2 linked regions of the Oryzias latipes genome follow. The protein of the gene in region 1 purifies or fractionates together with the protein of each later gene. This does not show direct contact. Links are inferred from orthologs where the notes say so. Each region holds a gene or a part of one and is shown in the gene's direction. Other genes may lie near its edges.

The links. The genes of interacting proteins can lie anywhere in the genome.
Region 2: the proteins of tnrc6a (region 1) and CCR4-NOT transcription complex subunit 7 purify together in Homo sapiens (affinity purification with western blotting; 3 studies listed by BioGRID and IntAct, with this or other methods). This does not show direct contact. The link is inferred for Oryzias latipes from reciprocal best matches to the Homo sapiens genes TNRC6A and CNOT7.

What each region holds. Positions count from the first base shown.
Region 1 is NC_019866.2:17,733,710-17,737,209, forward strand, and holds part of tnrc6a (trinucleotide repeat-containing gene 6A protein), read left to right. Parts: intron 1-927; coding exon 928-1,056; intron 1,057-1,140; coding exon 1,141-1,215; intron 1,216-1,311; coding exon 1,312-1,486; intron 1,487-1,632; coding exon 1,633-1,779; intron 1,780-1,971; coding exon 1,972-2,142; intron 2,143-2,345; coding exon 2,346-2,486; intron 2,487-2,585; coding exon 2,586-2,693; intron 2,694-2,944; coding exon 2,945-3,163; intron 3,164-3,500.
Region 2 is NC_019868.2:26,784,432-26,788,533, reverse strand, and holds the start of CCR4-NOT transcription complex subunit 7, read left to right. Parts: upstream 1-1,302; 5' UTR 1,303-1,504; exon of another isoform or gene 1,505-1,734; intron 1,735-1,904; 5' UTR 1,905-1,911; coding exon 1,912-2,028; intron 2,029-2,637; coding exon 2,638-2,831; intron 2,832-3,985; coding exon 3,986-4,102. UniProt on the Homo sapiens protein: Has 3'-5' poly(A) exoribonuclease activity for synthetic poly(A) RNA substrate. Its function seems to be partially redundant with that of CNOT8.

The sequences.
Region 1 (3,500 bases):
GTTCAAGCTCTTGAACAATTTAAAAGTCCTAGAAAAGCTACATTAAGCAATGTTGAAAGTAGACATCACTTTATTTCCTCAATCATACTTTTAGAACCTTATTAGTTAAGGCACATCCATTCTATTTTTTTTATACTGAAAAATATTTTGTTGTGGAAATCAGACAATGTTGACTATTCCCTTTTATATATTTTAAGTTGCCAAAATAAAAGCAGTGTTGCTTGGGTAAAAGCAGTTGCAGTGTTTCACATTGTGATCATTAAATAAACTGAATTGTACCATTTTATTATAATGAAAGACATTGATATTCAGATACAGTTTTTTTCTGAGTCATACTGTTAAAAAAATTAAAAAGTAAAAAAGTTTTCCAGTACAATATCGGGATACTTATCTTATCCTGGGACACATCGGGATGCGCATCGTATCGCCAGACTCTTACCAATACACACCCCTACTAAAAACTATTTCAGACTAAAAAAAATATTGCATAATCTAAAGGTCAAATCATTAGATAAAGTTTCGACTTTATTAACAAATAGACTAACATTCTGGCCCAGACTGACTCCAGCTTTAATCCTGATGGTGCTTGAATGAACACAGAACAGCTGGTTTAACTAAAAAAAAAAAAGTATTCAAACATGTAAAATGTGTTGACTACCACGCATTTGTGCTTTGCAGCCTCATGCTAGATATACTTTTATAACGTTTCAACATGTTGGTGACTCATGCAGCTCCTCCTGTAGTTTTTAAAGTAAATCATTTTATTTTTAAAAGTACTTTACAACAGTGTCACCAAGCTGAACATTTTTTTGGGCACGATGTGAAGAAACAGGCAGCAGATGACCTGATATAAATTTTAAGTTTAAGAAAAACATTGAAAATCTCAAAAATGCTTTTTTTGCTTTGTTTTTTTGTGTTGATGTCCAGGTCCCTCCATCCTTGTTGAAGTACCCAGGGGGTAATGGAGGTCTGCTTGGCCCTCAGCAGGTGGCTATGCTCAACCAACTCTCTCAGCTCAACCAGCTGTCACAGCTGAACCACATCAACCAGCTACAGGTACATAGACCTTTAGGCCTAACTTCCAGCTTTCTAAAACAACCTTTTGTTGCTTCTGTCTTACATTGTGTTATGTGATTGCAGCGCCTGCTCCTCCAGCAACAACAGCAGAAGCTTCAAAACGCGAGAGCGACACCGGTGGGTCGTCCGACTGAACAGGTGTGCACACACACACAACAAAAAAACTCTGAATAACTAGAAGGCTTTGGTATTTCTACAAAATCCAAGTGTCTTGTTTCCTGTTTCCTTATCCAGACACGTCCTATTGGTTCATCTTTGTCAATGATGCAGCCCCCACGGCACCTGGATCCATCTCTGCTAAAGCAAGCTCCACCTCTTAAATCATATGCTGACGGCTACATGTCCCACAATACATCTGAGATGCAGAAGAATGCTCCTCCTCTCGGACCATTAGGCAACTTCCCTTTAAGTATGTCAACTATTGACCGATTCTATTTTTTTTTCTTTCTTTTCTTTTATTGTATATATTATAATTTTTATTAAACGTTTATTATAAGTTTCGTCCTTTCAAACAAAACCCAGAGTTTCTCTTCTCTTCTCTTCATCTAACATTAGGCTTGACCCCTAACCTGAATGTACCCCTGGATATTGCCGTTAGTGGTGGAAGCAGTAGTGGTGGAGCTGTGACCTACAAAGAACCACACCAGTCCAGACTCAAAAAACTTTGGGCTACTGACATCCTGGAGCAGAACAGCAAATCTGGTAAATGTATCGGACTGAATACATTTTTTTTGCTACTTAGATTCTATTTCCACATTAATAAATGTAAATAATCGTGTTCAAAGTTGGTTTTCTTGCTGATCATCCATAACTTTTTGTATTAAAATTGCAACAAAAACAAAAAAAGACGATGGTGTCTTTGACTGTACCCATTGTCTGTTTGCTCCCTCTCAGGTGCTATCTCGTCTGACTTGCGTCTAGATGACTCTCCTTTCTATGACTTCCTGCCTCCTGGTCCACCTCCCCTGAGCCCTCCCGGCCAACCAATAGGCTCAGTGGGTGATGGCTGGCCGCCCCGTGCCAACTCCCCCCCTTCCCATGCAAACACTGTCACCTGGCCCCCAGGTAAATGTTCTATCACTGATTCAAAACAGACATTGATTAGTACCACAGTGAGCTAGCAGCTAAGGTTGTTTTTGCCTCAGAAATACAGATTCATTGAAGTTATTCTTGTAATTTTGTAATATCTAAAAATTTCAAAAAGGTAAAATGCAGTAATCATCCAGTACAATAAAAAATTGTAATTGCTTTGTATTATTATTTTGCAGAGTTCCGACCCGGGGAACCTTGGAAAGGTTACCCCAACATTGACCCAGAGACTGACCCTTATGTGACCCCCGGCAGTGTCATCAACAACCTCTCCATCAACACAGTTCGTGACACCGATCACCTCAGGGATAGGAACAATGGTAGGCTGCAGACAAGTTTTGACCGATCAGCTGATGGCGACACAGTGGAATCTGTATGCATAGATCCAGTCTCTAACCCCTGGCTATTCTGGTTTGCAGGGCCACCCTCATCACTGAACACCACGATGCCTTCTAACAGTGCCTGGTCATCCATTCGTGCCTCCAGCCACAGCGGTTCCCTCACCAGTACAGCACAAAGCACTTCAGGTAGCCTTAAAACCCATCCTTTAAAAAAAAAAAAGGCTCATGTGAAAATAAATAATTCAGAGAACCTTAATTTAATACGAATTAATACATATATAAGGTGCTCCAGTTTAGAAGACACAGTTGTTTTTGAAGGCTTTTAAGTATGCCTTATATTGTGGAAACTGTCTATAAAAAAGGCATACAAACAAGATCTTTTGTTAAATGGTCTGGAGGTTTTAATGAAATGAAAATGGTTTTCTTTTGCTTTGCAGCTAGACCAAGTGAGTCAAAGTGGTCTCCTGGAGGTGGTTCTGTGTCCAACTCCTCCCTAGCCCATGAGCTTTGGAAGGTCCCCTTGACTCCCAAGGCGCTGCCGGTTGCAGCTCCTTCCAGGCCACCACCCGGCCTCACCAGCCAGAAGCCCTCTGGCTGGGACAGCTCTGCTCTGAGGCGGGGGGGCTGGGGCTTCACCGAGTCAAGATACACACCTGGTGGGTTCAGAGGGAATTCATACAGTCTACTTCAGTTTGTTTACTTTTAACAAGCTGGTTTGTTGAGTTAAAAAAAGAAGTGTTTCCTTTTCTTTTGAAATTGCTATATCCTACTGATTTCCAGCTATGTAATTTTTTTTTCTTTGTAGAGGACATTTCTAAACCTGAATATCTTCAACCACTGCATTTGCTGAATGAACTTCTTTTGGTTTCTACAGAAGACTTTTGGGTATTTTCAATGATAGAAAATGTGAAGGGGTGGGGCTCTGGGAATTGTAATTTTTCTGGATTAAAAAAAAGTTGACTGGACAAATGTTTTAATAGTCAGGAGGTGAAG
Region 2 (4,102 bases), on another chromosome or scaffold:
ACACGGGGAGAACATGCAAACTCCACACAGAAAGGTCCCCCATTGATGTTCTGTTTTTCACGTCCCCCAGCCGGGACTTGAACCGGGGGCCTTCTTGCTGTGAGGCAAGAGCGCTAACCACTGCGCCACCGTGCAGCCTAAATGCAATAATATTTACTAAAAACGATTTTTTTGTAATCTTATATTAGCCACTGATTTTTTTTATTTTAGAAAAAATTACATAGTGGGAGATTGTCCCATTTTGTCTTTGTGTTGCAAATAAATAGAAGATGAGGAAGTGAAGCAACAATATGTTTATAAATAAATTATTTTGTTTTAAAAAGTACACATCCTACCTGAGGATGTGTACAAATCAAGAAAATGTGGGTCATAGTTTCAGGTTTGGCATCACAAAAAGAACCACTGGTGTCATCATTTTTGCAGCTGTGTAAAATACTTCATGCCCGAATTTATTCTCAATGTTGAAAAAACTTCCTTTGTGAATGAAGTGCTGGAGAAAATGAAATGTTATGAATTACTAACTTACGGGATGAGGGGTTAAAGGTCAAAGAAAAAGAAAAAGAATGAAATACAGATAACATAGAAAAAAATTAAACATTACAAAAATTACATAAGGTATGAAAAATTATAAGGGCATTTACACAACATATTGGTTATTGAGGGTTTGTGTTCAACAATAAAAGTTAAAGGTAAAATCTTTTTCACCCTAAATGTCCTCTAGTCCATATTTGTTGAAAATGTTTCCCTTAAAGATGTCAATCATATGCATTCTTTTTTTTCATCTTAGAGTGGTCATAAAATGATCAAAATCAACAAAAATGCGAACGTTGGATTATGATGCGTCTGTGAAAATTGTACTTTTTTATTAAAACAAGTGATTTGAAAAACGAATTTATCTCTGCATCATGTTTTACTTGAATTTAAAATGTGGCCTTTTTGGTTTCATGGCTAACATTTTTATTTGTGTAAAACTTTTTCAGTAATTTACCAAAATAATATAACTTTAGGGGCAAAAAAAAGTTTATTTTACTTTAATATAAATTGAAAAGAAAATATATTTTGTGAAAAAATAAAAAAAATCTGTACAGTATAATTTTTAAAAATAATATATCCTTTGAAAATAATTATATATACACTTTCAACGAGAGCCTGTTCACCTTGAATAAATTAGTAATTAATAAGAAATATATAACGTTTATTTGTACTTTTTAAAATTTATATATTCCTCTTTACAAACATTTATTGGAAAACCTTTTTTCACATTTTACGGATGAGGATCCTGAAACGTCCTTACGTCCTGACGTTTCACTTTACGTAATGACGTCACTGTGTGGGGTCCGCTGTGATGGCAGCCGTAGGTTGACATCAAGCCCCACTGAATATAAAAGTATTTCAAAGTTGGCGGAACACCCCCCTCCCCTCCCTGCTGACAGATATCACAGAACACACGGCCAGCTTTCAGATAGCACACGCTCAAACACGCGCGCGCCCGTTTCGGGGAACGGTGAGTCAACGAAACAAAACCTTTGCAGTCTCCCAAAAAAAAAAAAAAGAAAAGAAGTGACGCCCCGGCGTGTGTGCGCGCGCGCGCACTGCTGCTACTTACTCGTGCCTGTCCTGTTGTACAACCACTCCTGTGTAGTTGATCGAAACTAATGTTTTGTGTGAGAAAACCGCACAGTCGCCACTCCTCTTGTTCGGAAGTTTTACCTCCAACCCGCTAACTGTTAACAGGTAACAAGCTAGCAACAGTGCTGCTTTAAATTACGAGCTAGCAGGCGGCTAAAACACACATGACTTCTACTACTAACTAAGCGGCTCTTTTCATGTGGTTTCGGCTGCTTTGTCTGTGTTTTCATGATGCTCTCATCATCCCCCGCCCCCCATCTCCACGCGTGGTGAAGTGGCACTATGCCCGCAGCCACTGTAGACCACAGCCAAAGAATATGTGAGGTCTGGGCCAGTAACCTGGAAGAGGAGCTCAAGAGAATCCGGCACGTCATCCGAAAGTACAACTACATCGCAATGGTGAGAGATGCTCAGAGACCCCACCCATCCATCCACCTATCCATCCACCCACCTATCCATCCATCCACCCATCCATCCATCCATCCACCCATCCATCCATCCACCTACCCACCTATCCACCCACCCATCCACCCACCCATCCATCCACCTATCCATCCACCTATCCATCCATCCATCCACCTATCCATCCATCCACCTATCCACCCACCCATCCACCCATCCACCCACCCATCCATCCACCCACCCACCCATCCACCCATCCATCCATCCATCCATCCATCTACCCACCCACCCATCCATCCATCCATCCATCCATCCACCTACCCAACCATCGATCCACCCATCCATCCATCCACCCACCCATCCACCCATCCACCCACCCATCCATCCATCCACCCACCCACCCACCCATCCACCCACCCATCCATCCACCCACCCATCCATCCATCCATCCACCCACCCATCCATCCATCCACCTACCCAACCATCGATCCATCCATCCATCCACCCACCCACCCACCCACCCATCCATCCATCCATCCATCTATCCATCCTCCCACCCACCCACTGTCACTGGTGTCCACGGTCCCTCGTTCTTGCCTCTTTCAGGACACAGAGTTTCCAGGAGTTGTAGCCCGACCCATCGGAGAGTTCCGGAGCAATGCCGACTATCAGTACCAGTTGCTGCGCTGCAACGTGGACCTGCTGAAGATCATCCAGCTGGGCCTGACCTTCATGAACGAGCAGGGAGAGTACCCCCCCGGGACGTCAACGTGGCAGTTCAACTTTAAGTTTAGCCTCACGTGAGTCTCTCACTATGTCTAAACAGACTCGTCCGCTTGGATTCCCATGAACGACTTCACAATCTGTAAAAACAATTCAATTCAAAACACATTAAAGTCCTATATGCCTTTGATCTATTTTAAAAGCATTCCCAATCAGATTTAAATTATGGTTATTCCGTATTTTAGCCACACACAAAAAAAAGTTGTCATTTTCCTGGATATAGTTTCTGCAGTTTCTACCCTTTATTCTCCTTCCTTGTTGCTGAGAGCTCTCTGTTTACACAATCTCCCGGTAGCTTACAGCCCCCTCATACCGCCTGACCTGATATTGACCGGTGCAACAAAAAGGGCGAGCCAGCTCAGACGAGGAAGACGAAGGTTAATTTTCTTTATGTATCATCAAAAAAAAAAACCACCACCACATGTTAAGCCCTCCAAAAACACAACTTACATTTTTTTTATCAGAGGGGGTAGGCGCACAAAGGGGATTTAAATTAATCGAAGAGAAAGCATCCTGAATGAAAATAGGAGTTTTTATATTTAAAAAAAAAAAAACAGATCAAAGCTGCCTGAAAAATACAAGTAATTAATGAAAAAAATAGCAATAATGCATGCTCTAAATAGGAAGCACAGGTGTTTTTTTAATTGTTTTTTATTGTTAAACAGATGGGGTTTTTTTTTACTTTTTTTACGTAAGCTTGGGTGGCTTTTTAAAAAAAATTTTAAGTTATGTTTGTTTTGTGAATCATGTAAAACATCTAAAGATTCTTGGAGAAATCCATGGTGGATGTTCTGGGACGGAGGAGGCGGGGCTTACAGGAGAAGCATTTGTCTTTCAGAATAAGAGCGGCGCTTTCATCCCTTCTCACACGATTGGTCCCCCGTGGGTTCAACGATGCTTTTCAAAGTCAAGCGTTATTCTGTCCATCGTTCCCAAATGGAAGAATTTGCACTTTTTCCAGCATCCAGTCAGATCCTAGTCGATCTATTCCTGCCTTAAGTTTTTTTTTGAAGGTTTCCCTCTTTGCTGAGCAAACCTACAAAGTTTAAGTTTTTTAATGGTTATTCTGTGGCGTTTTGTTTGTTGTTTTTTTGGAATGAAAGCGTGAAGCTTAGAAACAGAGATGTGTTTTATTTATTTATTTCATTTATGTATTTATTGTTTTAACCAGAGAGGACATGTACGCGCAGGACTCCATCGAGCTCCTGACCACTTCAGGAATTCAGTTCAAGAAGCACGAGGAAGAAGGCATCGAGACGCTGTTCTTTGCAGAGCTGCTGATGACATC